Arabidopsis thaliana: one gene and its partner. The protein of the gene in region 2 purifies or fractionates together with the protein of the main gene of each other region. This does not show direct contact. Each region holds a gene or a part of one and is shown on either strand. Other genes may lie near its edges. The genes, in order: AT5G15400 and AT1G33320.

The links.
Region 1: the proteins of AT1G33320 (region 2) and AT5G15400 fractionate together in Arabidopsis thaliana (co-fractionation; one large-scale study listed by BioGRID). This does not show direct contact.

What each region holds. Positions count from the first base shown.
Region 1 is NC_003076.8:5,001,609-5,005,536, forward strand, and holds the start of AT5G15400 (U-box domain-containing protein), read right to left. Parts: upstream 1,646-3,928; 5' UTR 1,300-1,645; coding exon 440-1,299; intron 1-439. Other genes in the region: DND1 (Cyclic nucleotide-regulated ion channel family protein), read right to left, coding at 1,852-2,361, 2,478-2,564, 2,651-2,887, 2,980-3,091, 3,189-3,508, 3,695-3,910. UniProt on the Arabidopsis thaliana protein: Ubiquitin-protein ligase that may function as an E3 ligase in conjunction with specific E1 and E2 ligases. May also function as an E4 ligase mediating the assembly of polyubiquitin chain assembly on substrates monoubiquitinated by another E3 ubiquitin ligase.
Region 2 is NC_003070.9:12,079,300-12,083,227, forward strand, and holds the start of AT1G33320 (Pyridoxal phosphate (PLP)-dependent transferases superfamily protein), read left to right. Parts: upstream 1-1,709; coding exon 1,710-1,910; intron 1,911-1,965; exon of another isoform or gene 1,966-2,016; coding exon 2,017-2,090; intron 2,091-2,168; coding exon 2,169-2,337; intron 2,338-2,444; coding exon 2,445-2,504; intron 2,505-2,588; coding exon 2,589-2,792; intron 2,793-2,878; coding exon 2,879-2,965; intron 2,966-3,139; coding exon 3,140-3,247; intron 3,248-3,660; coding exon 3,661-3,756; intron 3,757-3,841; coding exon 3,842-3,928. UniProt on the Arabidopsis thaliana protein: Catalyzes the first committed step of methionine (Met) biosynthesis. Catalyzes the formation of L-cystathionine from homoserine esters and L-cysteine, via a gamma-replacement reaction.

The DNA of each region.
Region 1 (3,928 bases), on a different chromosome or scaffold from region 2:
GCATTTTCATAACAGGTAAAGTATATCCTCTGAGGTGGATCAGGAAAACTCTTATGTTCGCACAATTAAGCCTTGTCAAATACTAAATGGACAATCAAGATTCTTCAGTACAGACCAGAAAAAATGCTCAAAATAATGGATTTCATCCACAATATTCTAACTTAACATAGTGCTTACTAATATTTCTGTTGGTTTCGCCTCTACTGATCATCTAACTATGCTAAATTTATATAATCATGCTTAAAATATGTATACAACCTAACAGTGGCATCATATATAAGCCAAATATATCTGCTTTTTTCCTTTTTTGATCAAGTCTCTCTACTATGAGTAAAAGCTAATCAATAATTCTTACTATCCAAACTTTCTCAATAAGAAAAGAGCCCCAAAGACTACATGATTCTCAGTAATAGAAACCCATAAATAAGTTGGAACTCACCCAACATCAGGTTGACTCTTGAATAGTGTATTATCTGGCAGCGCACTAATATGGAAGAAAGGCCCAAGAATGCTAGTCAACTCCATTGCTCGGCCGTTCATATAGGCACCCCGTGGAACCCACCACTCATGACTAACCAGAGATTTAGCTCCTACTGGTAAGCTAACAAGATACTTGAGTGCCCTCAGTGGTGGCTGGAAATCTCCAAGCACTGATACATTTATAACCGTAGACCTCAAATCCTCATACAGCTCCTTTAGAATCGAGTCCAAGCTATCAAAATCCGAGTCTTTGAAAAACTCATCCAAAAACCCAGGAGGAGCTTGAACCCCACTGCTACTAGCTCCAAACATATCCAACGAACCAGAACCAACCTCAGCAAAGATCAACGGAAGAACCGGAGAGACATTCCTCTTCTTCAACCTATTATCCAATCCACCACTAGGTTTATCCGAGTTCCCAAACATGTCAGGATTCCCCAAGTGAATCCTACAGTAAGAAACAGCAAGCTTCTTCGCTTGTTTAGTGACAATCTCCATCTCCGATCTCAGATTCTTATCCTTCATCGACTGGATTTTCTTCGATTCGTCGTAAGCACGACGGTGGCAACCGATTAAATACGGGAAAGGCGGTTCGGCGTCGGAAAAGTCGCCGGAGAGACGATCTATGAGAACTCTCTCCATCAAATCACGAGAAAGCAAAAGCTCTTTACCTTCGCTGAGAATCTCAGCGGCCGTCATCTCCAAGTAAACAATACGAGGATCGGAATCAGTTGATTCCGTTAGGGTTACATAAAATATCTTCCGGAGGATTATATCCTCAATTTCAGCCGGCGATCTTTGAGGTTTGCTCGTCGCCATTGATTTTACGAATCAAATCAAACACTCGAAACTCGATTTGAGAGATAAATATAAGAATTTTTTTTCTTAAACTTGTATTACCGATGAATCAAAAGCGAAAGAGTTTGGACTTAGCAATTTAAAGTATAATTAAATTTAGAAAAACTAAAATTCACGAAAGAAGAGAGAAACCATGGCGAGAGATTTGGAAGAACTTTCTGGGAGTAGGTTTTTGTTTATGAACTCTTTTGGAGTCTCTGAACGAGCTTTAGCAAGTCCTGAGCTTGGACAAAAAGTCTATATAGGATATATGCAAACGTCGTACTTACTAACGACGTCGTTTATACTTATTAAGACAATTACTTTTACTGCTAATAAAAAATAAAAAATAAAAAATTACCAAGATAAACTCCTCCAAGATTTTGTTGCTCAAAAAATCTACTTTGAACTTAACCGTAAGAGGTTGAAGTATCATTCCAAGAAAGATTTTTTAAAGAAGTAAAGGTAAACAATTGAGGAGGAACAATGAACACACAATTATTTGGACCGATATAAAATTGGAACTTTTTATTATTATTCGAGATGATCATGCGGTCGAATGGACATGAACATAGCTGCATACTGAAGTAACCGGCGTTCACTGTTACCTTCAATGCTATTCTCCGACACAGGACTCATCGAACCGCCGATGTTTTCACCACGGGTTCTTTTCCTACGCCGGCGCCACGCCATCTGAATATTTACCGCTGCCCACGTCCTCCAGTTTGAGGAATAGTATCTTGCGGTCCGCTTAAGCCGCTCGTTCGCGAATTTATAACGGAAATGATCGGTAATGTACCTAAGATCTTCGGATCCGAGGGAGAATGCCTCGATGTTTTCTAGGCAGACAAATGTTGCTGAGGAAGGGGGAAGACGGTCCAGAAACGGGCGACGTAGGCACCATGAGAGTAGCTCGTCGCCCAAGTAACCGCCTGGTTCTAGTGTACTAGTGGCTAGGACGCCTTTGCTTAGGCTCTGTATACGTTTGACTCGTCCACGCATGATGAATATCATTCTCTGTACAGGATCTCCTTCACGGATGATCTGTGACAATCAACAAAATCGAAGAACCTCAGATTTTACTCTTCAAGTAAACTCTTAAACCGAAACCGAAGCAAAATATTGGAAATATAAATTTTTAGAAATGATGGGATGAGTACCTTTTCGTCTTTAGAGAAGACTCGAGGCTTAGCCCGATCGCAAATGTTGTCGAGGATCAAGTCGTCCATGCCCCTGAACAATGGCACCTGAGAAAGATCAAACATGTCAGAGACTTAACACTTACTGCTTTCACAAGTCTTAACAAGATTGTATAAAGTCTGCTTCCTAGTACCTTGTTAATGAGATCAAAGCAAAGATATCGTTTGATATCTCTTCGAAGACCCGGAGGCAAATCATGTATAAGTTCTAGCTCGTCTTCACCACCCAAGGCATTCCATCTCTGCCGCTCAAATCGCCTAACCCTCTGTCTTAACCGGGAAGGTAACTGCCTACGTTTCATCCACCATTCCATATCCCTACACCGTATCTGCATTTTCCTTTTTTTCGCCATTACCGCATGCAAAAACACCTTCAAAATATTGTAAAGTAAAAAGCTTTTTAAAATCTTACATTCCATGAAAACACAATATCATAGAAAAGACATATTCTTGCATAGTTTACCTGAATGTTTCCTATCAACAGCGTGAAAAGTAACAAGCCACTTAGAACCATAACTATACTGAAAATAACCTCGAGCCAGTTGCTTGTGGGCTCAAGATCATTCGCAAATGTGCTGTAAAACGCGACCCCCAAAACAGATTCAGTATGTCAATCAGAGAATTTTTTTATATCCAAGATGTAAACCTTAAGCTCAGAAACAAAGCAATTACCTGAGAGTCATTAGGCCCCAGAAGATGGGGTAAAGGATCTTAACCGCAAGAGAGTTGCTGGAGATGACTGGAAGTGCCCAACGGTAGATACCATATCGGAATGGTCCGTTAGAGTCTAAGCACATAGGCTTATTGACCACACTGGTAAGGTTTCCAGATAAGCATGGATATCCAACTGTGCTTGTCGGTGACACAAATTGGTAACAGACCTCTTCTTTGCAAGCCAGACTCAGATTGCAGTTCCCGGTTCTCATACATTGTTGTCTTATGCAAGAAGCAACACGCTGTATTGCGAGAACATACCAACATCCCCCAGCAACCTGAAACCACCAGAATTTCCATAAACAACAAACTTTAATTTCATATCTTAGGACAGACCTTAGTAGTACTATATATATACACATGGGATTTGTTATATTGCATTTGTTTTAGGACCTGAATATAACCTATTGTTGCAGGACATTATATTCAGGCAGAAATACAATATCTAGCTTGAGAGGACTTACATGAGAAGCGATGAAATATGCGATGAGATTAAGAGCAAAACCCCACCAAATAGTTCCAAAAATGTAACCAGTGACCTTCTGCATCCTTCTCATCAAACAGATGCAGTGATAAATCTTGGGGAGGAACTGGAACAAGAATATTAGCAGCAGAATCGTCATTATCAGCTTAACCTTCTCTTCTCTTATCAGTTTCGGCACAACTAACCAAAACACTGCCTGCAAACAAGCAAAAAC
Region 2 (3,928 bases):
TTCATAAAAAAAGTGTGCCTTTAAAGATAGCAGTCAATATTAATGAAATTACACAATAGCAACAATCTTTGTTTTACTCTAAAAATATGAGAACTTTTGTTGTTGGCTAGAATCCATTTTTACTAGTCAAGTAATACGTAAATGGCTAAATGCTACTAGTTAGTTGCCAAAAATTTAGATACTAATAGGAAAAATGCTTTTTGCAAGTTACTAAATTATATATTTACTTAAGAAAATACATTTCTCAATATTTTTTATTTTATTTTATTCCACCATCACACCTGTACTCTTTTGGAAAGAGTGTTCTTCTATCACTTTCAGTCATATTTTTTTTGGGTTAAGTTGCAAACTACTCACTTTCCAAAACTTAATTATGAAATAGGGCAGGTTACTATTTATAATTGGAGATTTAGCCACTTCCTTATGACCCCACAAATCAGAAAATCAATTATACCCCATGGTAACAACTTTATTTACCAACATGCCACTATTATGACATGTAGAAGAGAGGGTAAGAGAGAAATGTGGGTGAGATTTTTTATTTAATTTTCTTTTTCTTTCTTTACTACATTTCATTCTTTCAAAGATTAATAATTAAAATGTTCATTTGTAAATTTTATTTTTCTAAAATTGATCATATAAATAAAAATCTATGTTTTTTTATCTATCATTTGATATGCATTTTGTTTATTGATTTTTAATTTTTATATTACAGAACACTGTACATATAATAACTATACAAATATAGACCACTGTAACGATATAAACTACTGTACAGATATAGACCACTGTACAGAATGATGCATTTATAAAGAAAAAATATTAGTTCGTATAATAGTAAATTATGATTTCGTTAAACACATGCATCATTCTGTACAATGCTCTATATCTGTACAGTGGTGTATATCTGTACAATAGTCTACGTATGTACATTTGTCTATATATATACAGTAGTATATATCTAAGAAAATTTCAAAAACGTATTAGTTTCCGAACAAATATCTTTCTGTACAAATGCATCATTTTGTATTGTGGTTTATATCTGTAGAGTAATTGATATCTGTACAGTAGTGTATATCTGTACAGTGGTGTATATCTATGTAAATATTATTTGTATAGTATTCAATAGTATAAAATTTAAAAATCATTAAACAAAATGCATATTAAATGATAGAGAAAAAGACATAGATTTTTATTTATATGATCAATTTTAGAAAAATAAAATTTAAAACTAAGCATTTTAATTACTAAACTTTGAGGGAATGAAATATAATAAAGAAAGAAAATAAAAATTTAAAAAAAAAACTGACACACATCACACATCTCTCAGACGCTTTATCTATTCCTCTTTCTTTCTCTCCTCAGCCAAAGAGGTTCCTTGATAATTTTCAAAATTCTTCCACTATCCCACCTCTACTTCTATTAGCCACCTTATACACATGAGAAACCCGGACTAACCAGTCCTTTGAGAGGAAGCCATGGCACAAACGTACCAGGAATGCCAGCGGATGCGCCTCGCTCATCACTTTCAGTCATATTGAAAAACAAAGACATTTTTTTGTTCTTTCCTTTATTGATACACTAAATAAATTTCCCACTTTAATTAATAAACTAAATAATATGGATAAAATTAAGATATATTTATAAAATATTCAAATAAACTACGACACTTTGTTTTTGTGATTGTGAAACAAAATAAAGTAAGAAACATGCAAATATTAAAAGAAAATGCAAGTAACCAACGTTTCGTAACCAGAGAATCAGAGGTAAATAGGATTTGTTGTGGGTTTAATGGTTTTCAATTAGGTGAAAGATTACGTCGTGATATGAAGACGAGTTCGATCACGACCCTTGTAGTCAACACAACGACCTACTTCTTCAAAGATACTACCGAGCTAATCGACTTCAAGGTCCGTTTATATATGCTTCTAGTTAAAAATTGTAAATGGTGTGTTCCTTTGACTGAGTTAATCAACTATAGGGTTTACAAATATAAGTCTACTTTCAATTTTGTAGGAAAAACGGATTGACTTGTATGAGTATGCTCGTTATGGAAACCCAACAACTATGGCACTCGAAGAAAAGATTAGGTATATCTTTCTCTTGATGTCTTTGTTTACTGTCTCTCTATATCATGAGTTTTGTAAGTTGTTCCATTTTATGCTCAGTGTACTTGAAGGGGCTGAATCAACTTTGGTAATGGCATCGGGGATGTATGCAAGTAATGTTATGCTTTTGGCTTTGGTTCCTACAAATGGACATATTGTGGCAACTAAAGATTGTTACAAGGAGACAAGGATTTTCATGGAGAATTTTCTTACTAAACTGGGAATCACTGTAAGAAAATCTCAATTCATAACTTTCATTTTGTTTCCTTTCCAGCTCCATCGATTAACACTTTGTTATATATATGTGTGTGTGTGTGTGTGTGTTAATGTCTCCAGGTAACTTTTATTGACTCTGATGATATTGCGGGGCTCCAAACTCTTGTTAATAACCATGAGGTATTTTAAGTGATAATTATAAGTTCACTTAGTAACTTTAAAGCTGGTAAGCAATATATGAACTTGTGATCTTTTGTTTTTCAGGTTTCTTTGTTCTTTACCGAGTCCCCAACAAATCCATTTCTTCGATGTGTAGATATTAAGTTAGTTTCAAAAATCTGTCATAGAAGAGGAACTCTTGTTTGTATAGACGCTACCATTGCAACACCTATCAATCAAAAGACACTTGCTCTTGGTGCTGATCTTGTTCACCATTCTGCTACTAAGTACATTGGAGGCCACAACGATGTGCGTAAATCAGAATGTGTAACCTTATTATTCCTTGGAAAAATGGTTATCGAAGAATGATTTATTTGTTCCATGTGTCTTCTCAGTTTCTAGCTGGAAGCATATCCGGTTCAATGGAGTTGGTTTCCAAGATTCGCAATTTGCATAAGCTTTTGGGAGGCACGCTTAATCCGGTTAGAATGATTGATCCTCCTCGAATGATATGACTTTGTAAATGTGTTGAAATTTCAGTTTTTGTCGGTTTGGTTTTTTATTAGACAATTTTGGTTCACATTCTTCTTTTTAGATTTAGCTAGGATCGGTCCTATTATTCAACCTTTGGATAATTGGTTCTTTGTAAAAAGCAGAACGCTGCATATTTACTCATACGAGGCATGAAGACGATGCATCTTCGTGTAAGACAACAGAATTCAACCGGTATGAAGATGGCCCAAGTGTTAGAAGCACATCCCAAGGTACTATATTTTTCATCAAGATCCTTTCTTTCTTTTTGTTTACACATTAGTTATCTATTGGTACGTAAAATTGATAAAAGAGATAAGACAGATTTATGATTGAGTTTTTCGTTAATCACTCATAATCATTTACTTGTGGGCAAGATACATAAAAGAAGAAGAAGCTTACGAGGTTTCTTGCCAAGCAAGTAATAAAATGAAAACGACCTTAAAGAGAAACTAGAAGAAGATATTATTGAATTAATTTGGGATATATCTTACAAATGATCAAGAATCCCCTATTTATACATGCACGTAGACAATTAAGGATCAAACATATATAAAAACATCATAACGTTGCTTCATAATTTTCCTTTCAGTTTGAAATAGATCATCATATCTTATTAGAAAAGGGTTCAATATAATCGTGTTAGGTGAGTCGCGTTTACTATCTAGGCCTTCCGAGTCATCCCGAACATTTAATAGCCAAGCGACAAATGACTGGTATTGGTGGCCTGATCTCTTTCGAGGTAAGAAATAATAAAACTCCATCGATCCAAGAAACTATATTACTAATAATAATCTAAAGATGTCTTTGTTCTTTCACGAAAATAGATTGATGGAGATCTCAAGACTACAATCAAGTTCATCGATGCTCTGAAGATCCCTTACCTTGCAGCATCGTTTGGTGGATGCGAGAGC